Linked DNA regions of Oreochromis niloticus. The protein of the gene in region 1 interacts with the protein of each later gene in a pairwise test. Links are inferred from orthologs where the notes say so. Each region holds a gene or a part of one and is shown in the gene's direction. Other genes may lie near its edges. The genes, in order: utp25 and rufy1.

What was found.
Region 2: the proteins of utp25 (region 1) and rufy1 interact in binary tests that used the Homo sapiens proteins (3 or more experiments, as listed by UniProt). The link is inferred for Oreochromis niloticus from reciprocal best matches to the Homo sapiens genes UTP25 and RUFY1.

The regions. Positions count from the first base shown.
Region 1 is NC_031983.2:24,835,193-24,844,893, forward strand, and holds the start of utp25 (U3 small nucleolar RNA-associated protein 25 homolog), read left to right. Parts: upstream 1-4,834; 5' UTR 4,835-4,914; coding exon 4,915-5,015; intron 5,016-5,078; exon of another isoform or gene 5,079-5,476; intron 5,477-6,080; coding exon 6,081-6,120; intron 6,121-7,416; coding exon 7,417-7,618; intron 7,619-7,701; coding exon 7,702-7,929; intron 7,930-8,087; coding exon 8,088-8,176; intron 8,177-8,735; coding exon 8,736-9,146; intron 9,147-9,260; coding exon 9,261-9,477; intron 9,478-9,558; coding exon 9,559-9,701. Other genes in the region: grxcr1b (glutaredoxin domain-containing cysteine-rich protein 1), read right to left, coding at 2,355-2,399, 2,553-2,975. UniProt on the Homo sapiens protein: Component of the ribosomal small subunit processome for the biogenesis of ribosomes, functions in pre-ribosomal RNA (pre-rRNA) processing. Essential for embryonic development in part through the regulation of p53 pathway.
Region 2 is NC_031966.2:28,808,366-28,818,125, reverse strand, and holds the start of rufy1 (RUN and FYVE domain-containing protein 1), read left to right. Parts: upstream 1-5,260; 5' UTR 5,261-5,297; coding exon 5,298-5,631; intron 5,632-5,879; coding exon 5,880-6,059; intron 6,060-6,147; coding exon 6,148-6,265; intron 6,266-6,366; coding exon 6,367-6,468; intron 6,469-6,546; coding exon 6,547-6,670; intron 6,671-6,759; coding exon 6,760-6,821; intron 6,822-6,980; coding exon 6,981-7,116; intron 7,117-7,222; coding exon 7,223-7,324; intron 7,325-7,416; coding exon 7,417-7,533; intron 7,534-7,637; coding exon 7,638-7,805; intron 7,806-7,902; coding exon 7,903-8,000; intron 8,001-8,086; coding exon 8,087-8,206; intron 8,207-8,421; coding exon 8,422-8,551; intron 8,552-9,760. Other genes in the region: hbegfa (heparin-binding EGF-like growth factor a), read right to left, coding at 1-161, 867-909. UniProt on the Homo sapiens protein: Activating adapter involved in cargo sorting from early/recycling endosomes. Regulates retrieval of proteins from endosomes to the trans-Golgi network through interaction with the dynein-dynactin complex.

The DNA.
Region 1 (9,701 bases):
GGTCGCTGTCCATGGTGCTGACTGAGGTAGACTGAGGTACCGGGAGATGCTGTTGCATAAATCACTTAAAGGGAAAGTCCGACCTTAAGCGAGTCTTAAAATGTGAAGCTGCACCGCTTTTCAATGCAGGGAAGGAAAAACAGAGTTTTTCGCTTTAACTCAGTAATCCGATGACACTTAAAGGTTCCTCCTCAATGTGCCGGCTCATCAGCTTGATCAAGGTGTCATGGTCCCAGGGTTTTGTTCCTTATTCATGACTTTTGATTTCAGTGCTGTTGTAGAGGGGTTTTTTTTTTTTTTTAAGTTTTTGGATTCGTGGATTCAGGGTTTTTAGTCACGGTCTGGGCTTTTGTGTTGTTTGAGGGTTTTTCATTCTTAATACAGTTGAGCTTTTATTTTTAAAACTGTTTTTTCAGTTATTATTATTCTGCTAGTGATTTTAAGACATCATCAAGTCTTTGATTCCTGTCTTCAACTTTATAATTTTCCAGTTTTGTGATTTGGGGTTTTGATTTTTGATCCTGTGACTTTCCAATTTCTGTGTTTTTGTTTTCCACCATTATAACAAATCTCCGTTTTGCCCGCTCCCTGTGTAGGTCTGTATGATGTTTTCCTGCCATGTTCCCTCCTGAAATAGTTCATTAATTTTTAGAATCTTTCTTTCATCTCTCCTTGTTTGGTCATTTCCTTTTTTCTTATTGATAGTTTCCTCTGCTCGTTTCTTTTGGGTTTTATTTCCTCCTCTTCTGTTTTCTATTCCCTAATCAGCCCTCTGTATATTTATAGTCATGTTTTCATCTTTGTCAAAGAGTCTGTTAAGTCAGCAAAAGTATAAAACCCACAAAAACACAAAGCCCAAAAAAGTTTTGAGTTTCTTCAATTTGTGGATTTTTAAAATAATTTTATTATTTAATATTTATTTTTGGTTGACACTTTCCGCTTATTTCAGTTAGGATTCTGCTTTAGATTACTTATTTTAGACTCTCTTTTTTCTTAACTTTTCCTTTGTGTTTAGTTACCTCCTGTGTTATTTTTGACAGTCACATTTCCTTGTGTCTGGTACAAAGAGTAGGTAAAAAAGTAATTTTTACAGATTTGCTTGTTTAATTTTAAACATGAATTCCACCAATAACATCAGTTATGTTGTAAATGATATATTATGTAAAATGTTTTCAAAAACCTTGATAAGTCCATAATAAATGTAGTTAACAGGAGTTTCCAGAAACGGTCAAGCATAAAATCTGCTGTATGAAAATGCATTTAACTATTATAAAGGTTTTTATATTTACAGTTTACAGTATTTGTGTGAATCTTGTGTCAAAGATGATATGAAGCACATTCAATCTAGAAATGAATACAAAATCTTTACAAACAGAAAAGACCTGTTCATACATGAAAGACTCCATGAAATATCAAAATCATGTCAGATTTTAGGTCAAAAATAAACTCACAACTTAAAAAATACAATCTACTTCTCAGAAATTCAGTCAAAATCTCAGAGCAGTTAGTAAAATTGTTTTTCAGCTGTTTGGTTTAAATCTTTACTGAAACACATGAAGCACATGTTGGAAAATTGTGGATCATTTTTGAAGGGCTGTTCATCCATCCATTTTATTCTGCTCATATCCAATTCGAAGGCATGTGGGGTCCCTTGACAGGTCGCTCGTCTGCCGCAGGGCTAACACAGAGACACAGAACCATTCCCACAATCACGCCTACAGTCAATAACCCACAGAGACTCAGGGAGAACACGCAAAGAAAGGCCACAGGGTGGATTCAAACAAAGCATCAATCTCTAGTAAAACTGTCTTTTAATCCTCAACAATCACTTTTTTTCCATTTTCAATGCAAAAAGGAGTTAAAAACAAAATTGTATGAACAAAATCACATTTATTTGGACAATCCTTCTTTGGTTCTTCACACAAAACAATTTTCTCTGTCAGTAAACCAGAACATTTTTAAAACTTAAGATTTGTTGGATAGAATCATATGTGGACAGGTTGTTACTTTCAACAAGTTGTAATGAAATAAGCGCCAATAAATTCCAAATTGCAATAAAATAAACGTCTGTAGTGTTAAATGTATGTACATATATTACCTCTATCCAGTTTTGTTTCCTAGTTGCCCATAAACAGCTGTGAAAAGTTGTACAAGAAGTCAAATCAAAAATTTTGTGGTCAAAAATATCCTGAAGGCACATGTAAATATGAGGCTGGGATCATGAATGACTCCACGTCACGTGAAGAAACAGAAGTCATTGAAAGGGATTCAGGGTGGAGGCAAAGCTGTAAGACAATCTTCATCCTCAGGATTGCTCCTCCCTGATGTGCCCACGGTGTGAAATCCCACGCTGTTCACTGCTTTTCCCAGGGTCTCCTTTTCTGGTGACGAAGGGAACCCTAAAAGGAAAAGCAAATAAGAGTTATGAGTGCATGAAAATCTCTTCATGGTCAGAAATATTCCATAACCTTTCAGTCTGACTTCATACATGTTAATAAAAGAGGATAATGCTTAATTTAAAATTGTTTCGGATGATGCACTGAGCTACTTACAGAGTACATGTTGGAGAGGTTGTTGAAAAGCACTTGGCCTGCGCTCACTTTGTTCCTCACTCCTCTCACGGTCCCATTCTTGCTGCAGATATTGATCCGCTTGTTGCTAAACAGCATCTCTCTCTTGGCACTGGCGTACAAAAGCAGGTCATCGGGTTCACAGCCATTCTCGTCCACGGCTGCTTCCACCACCAAACCGTTCAGGTGGCTGTTGGCCTCGCTGGTGGGGAGAGAGCCGCCCTGCTGCTCTGCCTCCGGGCTGCTGGTCGGGTCAGACTCCACAGAGTCCTCCACCGAGCCGCACCAGGCTCTCTCATCCTTGAACACCTCCGCCAAGACCCGGCCGCTGTTGGCAGACGCTACTCTAAACCTGACTGTTTTCCCAGCCTTCTCGTTCTCCTGTTTCAGTTTTGGCCTCTCCATTGAAATACAAGAATGTCTCACATGTTTTACATCCCATTCAGAAAAGCCAGACACGCTCTCTCTGTGCTGTGCAATTATCAAACAATAATATCCTCATTGATGTGTCAAAATGAGCTGAAAATACCCTGAGTACAAAAACTAGATACCCAGATGGTTAATAATTAATGAGCTTCTGCCATGGTAACCGCTAAAACAGGCAAACAGTAAATTGATATTACCATGTTCAATAATTGATCCAGGTTAGTTTTCAAACAGCTACAGAAGTGTGTGATCCTTTATGGTCGACTGGGCCAGCAACAAGGATGAATTACCCAAGAAACACCAGACAACCTCCGGTGACCTTTACTGCGACCCCCATTTTGTTTGTCTGACCCCGAGGTTATCACGAGAGCGCAGACTCGAAAGCCAAAGTAGGCAGATTGTTCTTTTCGGTCCTTTTTCTCACCTGGAAAAGGACCGCTGTATTCTAACTCACGCTTCCACTGCTGATACAAGTCAGCAGTGGGAGTCATGACAAATCATGACATGCTCATAAATACACCGTGTGTCCTTTCTGTCAGTGTGGAAGGTTATTGCTTTGTATTTTGGTTCCTGTTGTGATAGCTTGTTTTGTTGTGTTTCTTTGTTTTCAGTTTCAGTGTTTGCCTTTTAGTTACTTCATGTTTTATTTTGAAGGTTAACTTTTCCTTTGTGTCTTGTCCTAGTTTTATTTCCAACTTTTTGCAACCTCTGCACCTTCCAGCAGGCTATTTTATTTGCCAGAGTAAAACACAGTAGGTTCAGTTAAGTGTCACAAAGTAATGAATAGAGCCAGAGGCAAAACTTTAAGCCTTACCACCATCAAGTTAGTTACTAGCAACTTAACTGATCTCCTTGACCTGTATAACCCAAAAAGAGCACTAAGATCCTCCAGCCAACTGCTCCTAATACAACCAAGGTCTCGTTTAAAAGAGGTGACCGTGTCTTTGCTATTGCCGCTCCTAGACTCTAGAATAATCTCCTAGTTGATAGGATTGAATCGGAATCTATTCAATCGTTCAAATCGCGCTTAAAATCCCACCTGTTCAATTTAGCTTTTGAAGCAAATTAGTCTGACTTTCACTTGGCCTGCACTACACCATGTAATTGTAATTTTTAATTGAAATTGTACTATTTGTTTCTTGTTTCTGCCCGCATTGCGGTATTATTATGAAGCACTTTGATCTACCCTAGTCTTTTAAAATGTGCTATAGAAATAAACTTTGATTCTGGTGAGTTTTCTTTTAATGTTATGTTATTATTAAATGAGATGGAAAGCTATCCACAGAGACCAGGATTTTTATTATTATTATTTATTATTGTTGTTGGTATTTGGCTGTAATCATCGACTGTAAAGTTGATTATTTTAGAATTAGAACCTGTGGAGATTCACCGACTTTTGGAGCCAGCCTCAATTGGCCACTACAAGAACTGCAGTTTGTTTGTTTTTTTGCCGAGAATAGCTGCTTGTCTTTAAACTATCAGCGGTAACAAAAATCTCATCTTTGCTTCTGAAAGCCTCTCTGGCAAGTTGTTTTTATATCAAACCATGTTTTTCATCAATCAGGTGTTTGTTAGATTTTGGGGGGTGTTTTTTGCTTTTTTTTATTGTATTAAACAACTTTCCAGTCACTCAAGTGTTGCTAGGATCAAAGGAAAATAAGTGTTAATTGATTTCTTCTCCATTCTTCTCATGCAACTTATTAGCGAGTGTACTCCTAATGTTAATCCCAGTCCAGGGATCGGGTAAATTCGTGGCCAAACAAATAATGCGGATCATAAAGTTCCCTCTAAATAATGTCGATCCGCCAGTCTGTAATTCCACCCCGCTCCTGTAGATGGCAGAAAGCGCCCGCTGCTGGCGCACAGCAAGAAGAGGAAGAAGCAGACCCCACACGTGTTCCTGCACCAGAGTGTCAACATGGGCAAAAGAAAGGAGAATAAGCAGTTTATAACTACTTTATCCAAAAAACAGAAGAAGCACTTGAAGGAGTTTGGAGAGGAGCATCCTTTTCACGATGTGTAAGCAGCACGACAGCAACTTACGGTCTGGTTTAAATGAAGAAGCTGCTTTATATTAGCAAGGCTGCTAATTGGTACTCAGATGGCAGTTTATTCAAACTATTGCACGGATATGTATGCGTTATCAGCAAAGACCTGGCTGTATTAATATACATTTCACTAAAAAAGAGGGTCACGGGTAGTTTCTTTTCAATTTTTTAAACGTAACTGTAGTTTTTTTTCCCCCCGTATTATCTCGGTGTAAAGTACAAACAGAAATGTAGCAAACATGTTAAGTTTACGTTTTCTAAGGAGGGCAATGTGCTGATGTTTACCTGATGACGTGGATTTTTAATATTAGAAACTATCAGTGAGTTAAGCCCCTAGTAAAGCCGAAACAGTAGAAGAAGAATGGCGCATTTTAAGGGGACTCTTTAACTTCAGTCAGAACAGTTTCTCCTGCTTTGTGGAAAGTGACGCAGGTACGCCGGAGAGGCAACAACAGCACAGCCTCGCTCCTAATACCATCTGGCTGATCGTTCTATAGTTTTGCTTTTTGGTGGTACTTTTTTTACTGGTAGCTCAGGAGATGGGCTGTTACACAAGGAGAGCTGGACAGAGCCACAGAAAGGCATCAGCACCGCTACAGCACTGCGATCTGCTCCTCTGTGTGTGTAGAAACAGGAGGAGCCACCGCCAAAGCTCTAAATGATGACCTCATTCATTTTCTGGATAAACTGTTAGAATAAGACTCCATGAGGACGGCAGGAGGAGCTCACATCTAGTGGGACATGTCAGATTCTGCTGTTTTTACATTTAATTCAGAAAGCCATCCAGTGGGTTGAATTCTGTACTTTGGTGGGTCAGCTCTCTCACCACTGGTGCCATCCCTGATCTACATAAGCAGTGGTGCAGGCCAAAAGAACAATGCGTTAATATATATATATATAATAAACTGCCACTTATTGATCACAGTCTTTCCATATCAATAATTCAATTTTACAAATATGTTGTCTGAGCAGCTTCATTTCATTCTCCCTCTCTCTCTCTCTCTCTCTCTCCTCTCTCTCTCTATTTTTTTTACAGAGTTAATGAAAGACCTGAAAAAACTCAAGTAATGGAACTGGTGAGTAGAAAGTCCTAAACGTTAGTGCTGTGAAAAGTGTGTGCCTTGTCAAAGTCTGCTTTTTTCCCCGACTCCCCGTATATGTTTCTACAAATACAGTCTGGACACATTTTTCTGTTTGATTTAGCGCTTTTCTTTTGTGTAGTTTTAAGCTTATTGAGACCGTTGTTTTTGCCACATTGTATTGCACTTTAATGCTTTATTTAAAGTATGTAATAATAGGTGGTATTTATTGTTTTGGCTCCTCTAATACATGAAATTTCAAAGTTTTTTCTAATTTACCACTTTGGGCTTATGTGTCCCAATGAAGCCTCGATTATACTTTCCACATCGATGAGTCTGCTCAGGTTAGGCTGATGTAAATTTCATCGTAATACGGCAAGCCTGAGGGTCCTAGTGGACAGCTGCATGCCTCCCTGTTTTGTGTGATCAGCTATGCATGCGCTTCAGGCAGCGGTCTTCAAAGAAGTGTAACGGGAATGACTGCGGAACAAAATCAAAGCTTTAGGGTAGTGATGCCCAAAGGGTGGACTAGGCCCCCCCTGGTGGGCTGCTAAGGAACTGCAGGTGGGCCAGAGTAATAACAGAAATTCAGTTTGAAATTGCTTACTAGTATGTACAGTTACAGACTTGTATAAATGTATTTATTTATATAAAAAGGGAAATAAAACTGGTAGTAGGAGGTGGTAGTTTGTGATATTACTCTGACCTAAATTTACTGCATTTGCATTAAGGTTTGTGTCCCAGTGGCAGATGTGTTGGTGTTCACATATGACTGTATAACCAAAAGCCTGTATGGTTTATGGGTTCTGAGTACATTTTTTAAGGAAATACAATATTTCTTGTTGTATTTTGACTAGAGTAAAGTTTTAAGATTGGGTGGGGCCCATCGGATTTTCTGTGTTTTAAGTGGGCCGCACACTCTTGACTTGGGGAGTGGCTGCTTTAGCCTAAGGTTTACATTGTTAATTTGTCATTCCGACCATCTCAGGACATCTGAAGTAATGAACAAGTAATGTAGTGTATCAAATTACCTTCTTCAGACAGTAAAGTAAGTAAATAAATAGTTACTTAATTAATCTGTAATATACTTTTTTTAAATATCTATGACACCCCATCCTTGCATAAACCATCACATTTGATCCAGTTTTGAGGTTAGATTTAGGTTCAGTATTTACTATTACACACAAATCGATGATGCCACATTCAGTGAGCAGCAATAATCGTTAGGATGTAGGAACAGCATCAACACAGCGATAATAAATGGATTCATGAGCTACCTTTTTTTATTTTTAGCCGTCAAGTCCAGAACAATCTGAGTCAGAGCCCGATGAGCTGGAACCAGAAGAAGAAGAGGAGGAACCAGAGCAGAAAACAGCCTATCAGAAACTTCTTTCAACTCTCAGCCAACCAAGAGGTGAAGCTCAGAGCGAAGAGGAGGACAGCACAGATGATGATGATAATGAAGAAGAAGATGAAGAGGAGCTTCTTGGTGAAGGTGAGCTGTTTGTTTCCAGGGTTCTTTATTTCAGCAACCACTTTGGATTTCACTGAATGTGTTTGTGTTTTTTTCCATCTCAGATGAGAGTGACGCTGAGGAGGGAAGTGAGGGTGGTGATGAAGATGAAAAGGGAGAAGGAGAACCTGCAGATGGAGAGGAAGCTTTGATGGAAGCAGGAGATGGGGAGGATGACAGGAAGGAGCCAGGAGATGAGTTTGTAGACAAAGAGCATGAGTCCCAGTTCTGTCTGGAGACCAACTTCACGGGAAAAGGAGAACAGGAGGAAACACGGGATGAAGATAGTAAAGGTACTTAAAGGGTTGGAGGGGAAAAAAGATCTCTGGAATTCTTTAGTATAATTACTTAGTATCTTAAAAAACTGATTTTTGAATGTTGTCTTGTACATTTGTTTTATCAGCTCTAGATACGAGTATGGTGTGTTTTATAGTTTTATCTTGGTTTACAGACTTGTTTGTCCAGCATTTGGACACAGAGCTTGATGAAGAGGACGTGCAGAAGATAACGTCGGGCTGCAAATCAAAGACTCAGATTACGGTACACCAGTCTCATTAAATACATCTTCATTAAAGGAGACTTATAATGCTCATCGACAGCTGCATATTTTTTGTCGTAGAGTAGCTTTATGTTGCTGATCCTTGGTGCAGCCCCTCATTTTTAATCCTCTGTCTGACAGAAGCCGTGTTAGCCCCTTCTCCTTTAAGGCCCCCCCCAACTTTCTTCAGATTGGTTCCACCTCTCAAACATAGGGTTTGATTAGCAAGGAGGGGTGGACTTTTATGTGCTTATAGTCCCAAGCCATGTGCCTGAGGTGATTCTCAGTGACGTCATACGGAGCCATAAGTAAAAAAAGAAGCCTAAAACTGAGGTTTTGGCTCACAGGAGCAATTTGCACATGTTCTGGGCATGTTTAATATCGGCATCCATTATTGTATATATGTGTGTGTGTGTGTGTGTGTGTACATATATATATAACTCTAATATATAAATATCCAGAAATATTACCAAGACTTGAAATATAAAAGTTGAACTTGAAGTGCCGCTCTTATCATACTACAAAGTGTAAAGTTTCAGTCTTTGCCTTTCTCTTTCTTAGTGGCCAAAGCTGGGAACTCTGCTTTGCACCAATCCCCTGGAGAAGTTTGGCCCTATCGGCCCCCAGAAAGACACAGAGCTCCCAGTTTTCCATAAACTTGTGGAGACACGCTGGAAGGATCTGAACCAGACTTTCAATCATAAAGGGCAGGCCGAAGAGATCAGCCCTCTCCAGCTGGAGTTGCTGGCCCTCATGGGCTCCTATAAAGATCTCTACTTCCCGGAGACATGCCCTCTCAAGCAGGGACCACATGTGCGCAGTGCATACTGCCTCCATGTGCTTAACCATGTACTTAAGGCCAATTCTCGGGTTCTGGCTCATAACTCACAGTTGAAAGAGCAGAAAAGTCGGACTAAAGCAGGAGCCGAGCCACAGGATGAACTCCGAGACCAAGGACTCACCAGGCCGAAAGTAATCCACAGAAATGTTTATTTATTCTTGTTCTAGTTCTTGTTCTTTTTTATTACATATTAGTATTGTTGGGTATCTGCTAACCTGCTGTCATCGCCCTGATGAATATGTCAGGTCCTGATCCTCGTTCCATTTCGGGGAAGTGCGCTGCAGGTCATCCATACGCTCATCAGCCTGCTGGAGACTAAAAGCAAGAAAGTGATGGTGAGCAACAAGAAGAAGTTCAAGGAAGAATTTGGAGAGGACGAGGATGAGAAGCCGCCCAATTTGCAGAGACCAGACGACTATAACGCTATCTTTACAGGCAACGTGGACGATCACTTCAGGATAGGTACGCTCTGAAAAAAGAACCCGAGCTTCTTTAAAAACCCGAGTTTGTCTCTTTGACTGTCTCCTGCTGTCTCCTCTCCAGGTGTCTCCATTTTGAAGGGCAGCATGCGCCTCTATGCCCCCTTCTACTCATCCGACATCATCATCACGTCTCCTCTGGGCCTTCGCACTGTGCTGGGAGCAGAAGGGGAACGCAAGAGAGACTTCGATTTCTTGTCCTCTATC
Region 2 (9,760 bases), on another chromosome or scaffold:
GCCGTCCTTGCTGTAATCTGCTGTTGTGGTCCTCACGCCCCGGTTCTCCTCCTCTGCTCTCCTGTCTCTGGTTGTGTCCAGGAGGCTGATAACAGAGGTGTGCCGCTGCTTGTTGCTGTCGTAACGGTCTACTGCAGCACCGCTGGCCAGTCTGGACATCACTGAAGGAGCAGGAAAATCAAATGTTATGAATGAGGTCTGCTTTGAACATATATATGCCACAAAAAACAAACAAATAACAAAAACACAATCAGAAAACTCTTCCTCTAGGGGACAACCAGCAGACAGGTTAGTGCACCAAGGTGGGTGGACCTTCTTGGGCAAGTTGAAACATGTTGTGCAGGAAGAAGCTTCAGGCAGGATTTTTTAGGGATGCAGTAATTAAGCTGCTGCTCTCTCTTAGGAAATACACCGGATCAGACACTGTCCTTAGGGATTGATTGAGTCAATGCCCAGCTCAGGATGCACTCAAAAAGACGCCAAAACCATGTCCTCAAATTCGTGGACATTGAGATATCGGCCTGGCACACAGCCTTCCCCCCTCTGTCTCTCATAACACACGCACAAAATGCATGGGCAGACAGTTAGCTAATGTCAGGCAAGAATATGAGTTAAAAATAAATGTATCCAGTTACATAAAGCATGCTCTAAAATAAGAGAGATGACCCCATTAGCTCCCGAATAGGCTGGCATCATGAAAACTGTTGCCTAAAAGATTAAGTTTACACGGCATGTTATAGCTCGGTTATTATAGAGAGGATTACACTGACAGCCAAGAAAGAGACACTACACACACACGCTAAGTGATCCATTAATGAACACAGAAGAAACACTGGTTAAGTTGCACAAGCACACATGAAACGTACCCAAAACGTGAGCCAGCAAGAGCGCAACAGCGAAAATCCTCATGGCTTCCAGTAGCTTTAAGTAGAAAAATTATTTAAATTAACAAAAAAAAAATCTTAAAAAATAAAAAAAAATCTAAAAGTTATATTCCGTCCACCTCTCAGTATTCCTTCTCTTTTGGTTTTTTTATGTGGTTTTTATTTTTTTGTTAACAGAAGTCCTCTCTTCTCCTCGCGCTCCTGCTGCCGCTTTCTTCTCTCGAGAAAGACTGGCGACAGACGCTCACGAGCCTTTTAGCCTGGGTAATCACCCCGCCTCCTTCTGGGTGTTGACCATGGCCATGGGTTGCGCCGATTAATTCGTATTTTAACTCAGATTACCCATCATGTTGGTACTCCCGAGTGAAATATATGAAAGCTAAAAGAAAGTGTGCGTGTGTTGGGGGGGGGGGCATAAAAAAAATCAAGATTAAGATGATTTTATCCAAAATCATCTTAATCTTTTTTATCCAAAATCATCTTAATCTTGTGCGGATTTTTTTTCAAAGATAGAAAATAAAATGTAAAAACTGTCGGGAAATCAAAAGAAATAGGAAACTGAAACTTTAAAAAAAAAAAACTAAATTCTTGGTTCCTTTTGTACATATTGACTCATGCTTTCTGTCTGAGTGCCGTCAGGGTTTGGTTGTGTTTAATCCAGGTAAATCCGACGGTTCAAGCACTCACAGATTTAAAGTATGCGTGTCACAGAATCAGAAGTCCAAATATTAAGTAAGATACATTAACAGTCCATACTTACATTTAAGCAAGATAATTCAACAGCGACGCTGAGGAACAGGAGGACAGGAAACGTAGTAGATGACAAAATATACAACTGCAGTAAAAACTGTTGATGATGTGCTTCATTTGCCTCTAAGTATTAAAAGCGCCTTTAACGGGTACGAAATGTGAGCGCCACCACGTGGTCAAGAATTACACAACGCTGTTTTTACTTATTGGCTTCAGTTTAGGTAGTTTCCAGAGTTACAGTTAATTTCACTTGTTTCAGTTTATTTGAAAAATGTTTAATTTTGATTTACTTTTTTTTTACTTTTTGATATACTTTTTTACAGTTAGTCATGTTTTCAAAAATTCACAACAGACATTTCAATACAAACACCACTTCTCGAAGGGCAGCTGGTTCACAATACTGTAGACCTCCCAAATCTAAAGAAAGAAAGATTACAAAGCATCATCAGGCCACTGTGATGCCAAAGGTGACTAAAACTTAAGGCCTTTCCTGTGTGTTTTTATTTTCACTTAGTTTTGTGATAACACAAGTACTTTTCAGTTATCTCCCTGCCTTCCCTCTTTTTTTTTTTTTTTTTTAATTTCAGGTAACTACACAGACTTGGGTAATTTGAGGAGCAAGGTGGTGAGGTGGTTAAAACTGTCAACTCACAATGTGAAGGTTCTTGGTTCCCTGGGCTTCCTGTCTGTGTTACTTCTCTCCATGTACTCCAGCTTCTTCCGCAGTCCACAAATGTCCATTGTAGGGTTAACTGATGATTCTAAATCGACCATGGATGTAAGTGTATAGCTTAAAGTGCTGCATAAATGTATAGTTCAAATTGCTTTGAATGGTCAGTAAGTCTAGAAAAGTGTTGTATAAATGCAAGTGCATTACATTACACAGAGGAGTAATGGTAGATTTAAGTGCAAAAGGAAGGACTGCAAGCTCCTAATACGTTTATTCACTGCCAGTAGATCTTATTACTACTGGTGTCATGCAGTTCTGAGGTAACAATTATTCACTAGAAAATTATCTTTTGATAGCAATGTAAAATTCTCCCTTCAGCTCTCAAGTGCAAAAACATACCATCAATAAGTTAATATCACAAGTGCTTCAATTGGATTAAAGTATAGTCTGACTTTATGGATGGCTGTGTTAACATTCTTAGAATTAATAATTAAAGTTGGAGTCAATTTAAAGCAACACAAAATGCATCAAATAAAATTATAATAGATACACAGTACATCAGCATCACAGCTTTTGGTGTTATTACTACTGCAGGTTTTCTAGAGATTTAAGGCTTTACTACTAAGTGCATATTCTTACGATTCCCGTCATAGTAAAGCTTCTTTGGCTAAAGCTTAACTACACTGTAGTGTGTTTTGAGGTCACATGTAGGGTGGGCTGCTCACCACGTATGGAGTAATGAATTTGTCTGCCCTTTGTATTCTTAGGCATCAACCAACTCTGATGTGACTGTAGACACCGAATCTGGTGCGCCAGAATGTCATACTAAAGAGATTCTTTTAAATACACGGGGTGGAGCGAGTCAGAAACCAAGGGCACAGTGATGATGTAGGTCTGATCAGAAACGGTTTATTTCCAGGCCAGGGAGCAAGAATGAGAAATAATTCTAAAAACATAATAAAATGTTGTCAATACGCTAAAATTCCCACCGAGCCTAGATAAAACAATTCTAAAACTGGTAAAAATGCAATTTTCTGTATGCTCTAAAAATCCCACCCAGTCCCACAACCCAGGACGAATGTTCGTTATGGGTTCACAGGCCAGAAATTCCTCTTGCGGAGCTGCGTGCATGCCAGAGGAGCCTCCGATCCCCTTCTCGTCCCTTCATTGGGCCCATCACTTCCCAGCCCAGCTCGCATTCTGCACTGGAGTCCGTTGCTCGATGCCATCGCGCCTCTCCTCGCGTCATCGCCCTGTAAACAAATAGGGGCCAGAACCATCGTCCTGGAAGCTGCCCTGGCTTATAGCCATGGCGACCCTCTCCCAACACGGCTGCACCTGGTGAACAACAGTGGAGACACTACTCACAAATGCAGGCAGAGGCATACCTGTGCCCTGCTGTCAATCACAGGCGTTGTCTCCTACTGTCGCCGTTCCTGCTGTCGCTACCGGTCCGTCTCCAGATGAGGCGTCGCACCCCCACGATCAGGCAGCGGGTCCCTTTTGTTTTTTGTTTTTTAGATGAAACCTGGCCTTCATGCTTTCCTTTTCATATCTGGAGCCTCTCTCCTCCCAATCCCCAGCCAGCTTCCTTTTAAAAGGTCCCTTAAACAGCTGATAGGCCACCTCTGGACACACCCATGTCTCAGGTGATCACTATCAGCTAATTTGTCCCATGCCCAGCCAGTCCACAGTGGATTAAAACAATGTCAAATAAACCACTTAAAACCATGCAATACAAACAGAATAAAATCATGCAAATAAAAACTACACTCACAAATAAAGACTAAAAAACAGAATAAAACCAATGTAATAGATAAATACAAATTTCCACTGTGTGACATGACCATTCAATCTCAAGTAACATGACTTATTCTTCTTCTCCATCTTCTTCTTTCATCTGCCACCTAAGGGGTCACCACACCAAATGATCTGCCCTCATCTCACTCCATTGTTACCATCCTCCTCTGTCAACCCTCTGCATCTCCTCCTTCACTACATCCACGAACCTCCTCTAAGGTCTTCCTCTTTTCTCTTTTATTCTTTCCTACCTGGCAGCTGCATTTAGCATCCTTTGTCCCGTATCTCCACCATCCCTCCTCCAAACCGTCTCAGCCTGCCTCTCTAACTTTGTCTTCAAACCACTCAACTTGAGGTGTCTCTCTAAAGTAATTATTTGTCCATACTGGTCACTCCGAATGAAAATCTTTATCTTTAGTTCTGGCTCCTGTCTTTTTGTCAGCACCACCATGTCTAAACATGAATCACAGCAGGTCTACCTTCTTGTAAACCTTTCCTTTCACTTTATGCTTCTCTTACAATCGCCTCCACCAGCTTCACCCTGCCTGCGCTCTCTTCTTCACCTCTCCTGTGCACTGTCTGTTAAGTTGGATGGTTGAATCCAGGTGCTTAAACTTATCCACCTTCACTCTGCTCCTTCCAGCTTCATCGTTCCATCTGTCTCCTTCTCATTCATTCATTCAAGTATTACATACTTATGTTATGTTACTTTTTAATTTTAGTATTATCTTACTTGTTTTTTCATTTGTTCTCAGTTTGATTTGTCTCTACATTCATGTTTTTAAAAAATGTTTATTTAGGATGTATTGCCTTTTTCATTTATTTTAAATTGATAATCATTATATGTTATTTGTTTTTTGTTGTTTGTTTTTTTACATTTTGCTGTGTCTTTTAAGTGGTTCAAAGTCCTGTGAACCACACTAACCTAACACACTAACCTGAAAGGCACAACTAAAATTTCATTGACTGTAAATAAATAAAAATAAATAAAAACGCGATCTTCAGTTATTAGATATTTGTCAGTCCGCCACTCTCCAGCCAAATCCAACAGGTGGCAGTGATTTAACTCCAGTGTGCTTTGCTAGCAGCCAATGAATCAAAAGTAAAAGAATGTCAGGCCTCACAAGCGTCCGTTATTGGTCTAAGGCGATCACGTGATTTGTACACGAAAGGAGGGCGGGGGGAGGGCAAACATGGCTGACGAGGCAGGGGAAGTAAACACAGCTGTTACAGAGCGCGACGAAAAACAAGAACAAGATGAGCCCAAAGTTTTAGGACCAGCGACTAATGGCGAACCGGATGGTGGCAGCGAGCAGGACTGGACCGAGAGGCCGGCTCCCCAGGTCGCAGAGGAGAACAGCTGGTCGGCTCCTCTCCTGTCTCTGGCTCGTAAGGCCACGGAGACGATTAGCAGCGGGATCAGCTACGCTGCTGTCCAGAGAAAGCCCTCACAGGGATCCGCGGCGAGCTCCCCGACCGAGAATGAGGCCGAAAGTGACCTCAGTAACTCAGCGAAAAAGCTTCCAGGTAGACTTTGATTTTTCTGATGCCTGCTAGTTAATGCACTTGGAGATCGAAACATTGCAGCTGTCACAGGCACTTAAACACTTGACTAAGTGTCAGCTGTCACATCACATGACTCCAAGATCAGACTCTTGGTTTTTTTTGGTTAGTGAAGTGCTCCTTGGCTGGTAATGTGTTTGGGGTTTTTCCGGCTATGTCATCTGACAGAATTAACCTCAGAGCTTCTGCTTTTTTTCATGCTTTCTGTACAGTTGTTCCCCCCAAAGACTCAATGGCAATAGAAAGATCCAACCTGCTCAGCATGCTGAAGCTCAGCATCAGAGTGTTGATTCAGTCTTCTATGAGTCTGGGCAGGACGCTTGACTCAGAGTACCCTCCTCTGCAGCAGTTTTTTGTTGTCCTGGAGCACTGCCTCAAACATGGCCTTAAAGGTTAGACGTAAATAAATCTGACTGTTGCTGTTGTGCTATATTTATCTGCCTGCATGCTGAATTTAATTCTGCATGCTGTCTGATTCAGCCAAGAAATCCTTCATTGGTCACAACAAGTCTATATGGGGACCACTGGAGCTGGTAGAAAAGTTGTGCCCGGAGTCTGTCAACATTGCCACCAGTGCCAGAGACATGCCCGGCATTAAGTATGCCATTAAAAAACATATTTCTATAATAAAACTATAGAGATCACAGCTGTGTTTAATTGCACTTATACTGTCATTCTTGTTTGTTTGTTTTTTCCTAGGACCGGTTTGGGGAGAGGAAGGGCTTGGCTGCATTTGGCGCTTATGCAGAAGAAAGTAGCTGACTATATGAAGGCCCTGCTGGACCACAAAGACCTCCTGAGGTCAGTTACGCTTGTTTTATAGTGCATTATAAACATGGGTTTCTTCCCAGCATCCACTTTACTTTTTAAATCCCTTAGTGAGTTTTATGACTCTGGAGCACTGATGTTGGAGGAGGAAGGGTCGGTAATGGTGGGGCTGCTGGTGGGCCTCAACGTAATTGATGCTAACCTTTGCATTAAAGGGGAGGACCTTGATTCACAGGTTAGTGATGCTGTTTTGTAAGAATCAGTTTCACTCTGAGGAACAGTTGCATCGAGATACAGAGTGATCTGCTCTTCTTTCCCATTTAGGTAGCAGTCATCGACTTCTCACTTTATCTGAAAGACCCTGCCAGCAATGAGACTCCAAAAGAGTAAGCATCTACACTGCTTTACATTATTATTTTAATCAGGACTGTTCTATATTGTTATTACTGTTTAAAGAATGACCCCGTATTAACAAATCCTTGCAAATTTTTGTATAGATATGTCTCACAACTATAAGATGGTGATTGTATCGCTTCCTCCCTTAGTGATTCGAAGATGACAGCCATATTGGATCAGAAGCACTACATCGAGGAGCTAAATCGTCACCTAAGCGGCACCGTCACTGACCTTCAGGCTAAGATGGACTCTCTAGAGAAGACTAACAGCAAGCTCGTAGAGGAGGTTAGGCGTGCTTTGTGTGTGCAGCTGTGGGACTCTGTTTGCGCTGGATTGATCCTCTTTAACGTCAGCTGGTATCTGTGTGTCTTGTTTTTCTCCTTTTCCTCAGCTGACAGCCGCCACAGACAGAATCAACTCTCTACGGGAAGAACAGGAACAGCTGAAAAAGGAGAACGAGACGATCTTGCAGTCCAGCCAGAGAAAGGAGGAGGTGTGGGGAAAAAAAGTATCTGGGACTAATTGCAGCTGAAGCCCCTCCTGATTTTAAGAAGGAATGAAAAATGCCATGTTTTTATTTTTCAGGCAGTGCTTCAGGACAGCCAGGCAGAGCTGGAGACATACAAACAGACTAGACAAGGCCTGGATGAGATGTACAATGTGGTGTGGAAGCAGTACAAGGAGGAAAAGCGCATTCGCCAGGTCAAGTATCAGTGACCTCCAGGACAGTTTGAACCAACACTCCACACCTGGTGTTTTGGGGTTTTGACTCAACTCTAACTGAATTTGACTCCCTTGTGTATTAGGAGCTGGAGCGTGAACTGGAGCTGCAGGTGGGAATGAAGCAGGAGATAGAGGTGGCCATGAAACTGCTGGAGAAAGACACGCATGAGAAACAGGACACGCTGGCAGCCCTACGGCTCCAGCTTGACCAAGTCAAGACTCTCAATGTGCAGATGTTCCACAAAGCTCAGGTACAAATAGATGAGCATGATTATGACTTTGTCTTTCGCACTTACACACACACATACACACAGATTGCGCATTTGTCCAATTCATGTGGTTTCTCAGGACTCGGACCGCCAAGCAGAAAAAAAGCAGGCAGAGGCCGTGCAGCTTGAGCAGAGGATGAATGAAATGGAGAACACCATGAAGGAACTTGAGCAGAGGTATGCGTGCTTGCCCAGGGTGAGATTCAGTTTCGCGTTTACATTCCTTTAAATTGACGCTCCTCTTCATATTTTGTGACTCATAGACTACAGAGGTCGGAGCAGGAGCGCAAGCAGAACGACCAGTCAGACGAAGACATGAAGGCGGAGCTGCAAGGAAAAGTCGATGCTCTGCAGAAACAGCTAACAGATCTCGATACGCTAAGGTGAAGAATCGCAATTGTGGGCATGGAGAGGGGGGGTATTGAATGTGGTATTAAGCAGTACATAGAGAAAAGGTTCATAAAAGGGCAAAGTTGCAAATGTGATTCACCTAAAATGTTTGTTCTAAAAGTTTTCTAAACATTGTGTAGCCCGAGTCCATGCAGTAGTTTGCAGTTTGATGACTTGAGAGTCACGTTTTTGTGTTGTCGGAGCACAGGCTGGGGTTGGAGAACGAGCTGCGCAGTGAGAGGGAACAGAGACAGAACTTGCAAAAAACTCTCCAGCGGGAGCAGGACAACAGCACCGAACTGCGCACACAGCTGCAGCAGCTCCAGGGCCTGCACTCGGTCAGCATCTCTCAAACACACACGCAACATGTGTCAGGTTACGCTTGCTCGGATCTAAATAGCCGAATTATAGCGATGGAAAAGAATGTGTACACTCTTGACAAATGAAGTTTTATTTTCAAAGTGAAAGGCAACCTACAGCTGCAGCTAAGATTACTCTTACACACAGGCATAAAATACTGTAATCCAATGCCAACATTAAAATGTGTGATTGGCTTTGTAGAGACCGCTTCTAGACTCTAGCAATGAAGCTGAATTGGCTGCAAGTCAGAATAAGATTTTTTTTTTTTTTTCTTATGTTGATTAAAAATTACTTTTTGTAATTATGGCCTTCAAAATGCAGCAAAACCTTTCACCACCAGGGAGCAGTGTTTTACCAGTGGGTGTGTTGAGATGTTTTTGAATGTTTGGTGCTATTCTTTTAACTTTAGATACTCCTTTGTGTCCAATGTTCCCTCTAATTTTTCATGTGTCTGAGCGAACACACAAACTCCCTGAGCGGTCCCTTGGACCACTGTGAGCGACATCAGACGTGTGCACTGTGGTCACGCCAGCATCTAATCCATCCAAGTTACATGGTTTATTACAATAATCAAATTACAGCATTTACATTTATGTTAGACTATTTTTAATTAACTGCTTTAGCCCACTTACAATGAAAATTTAAAAAATCCTGTTCATGACCTGTGTAGTATGTTAACACTATTGGAAGTAAAAATAACTTTAACTCCAATTTTGAAAACACAACTTTTTCTTTTTTTTCTTCATAAAGCTCTGACTTGTATTATGAGTCTGAGTCTGTGGTCTGGGAGAGTCCTATAACTCTCTGTCTGCAAAATACAGTATATAATGACCAATGCTGGGCAATTAATTATATAGTTACTACTTCAAAAAAGTAACTCAGTTTGGCAAACAACAAAGTTTTTTGCAGCTATTTATTTTTTTTAATGCAGCCAAGGCGTTTTTAAATAAACATTTCAAACTATTTACAGAACAATCAGCTGTTCTGCATCAAATCTGATGCCACACAAATTATTTGTGCCACTCCAAAAAATAATTTCTGTGCACTATGAGATAAAGGAGAACAACAGCCTGATACCTGCAGGCCTGACAACAGGAGATGTATCACTCCTGTAACAGCTGTAACATTCAGCAGCCGCCTCAATGTTCTGACACACCAACAAAACTATTGACTACACTACACACTAA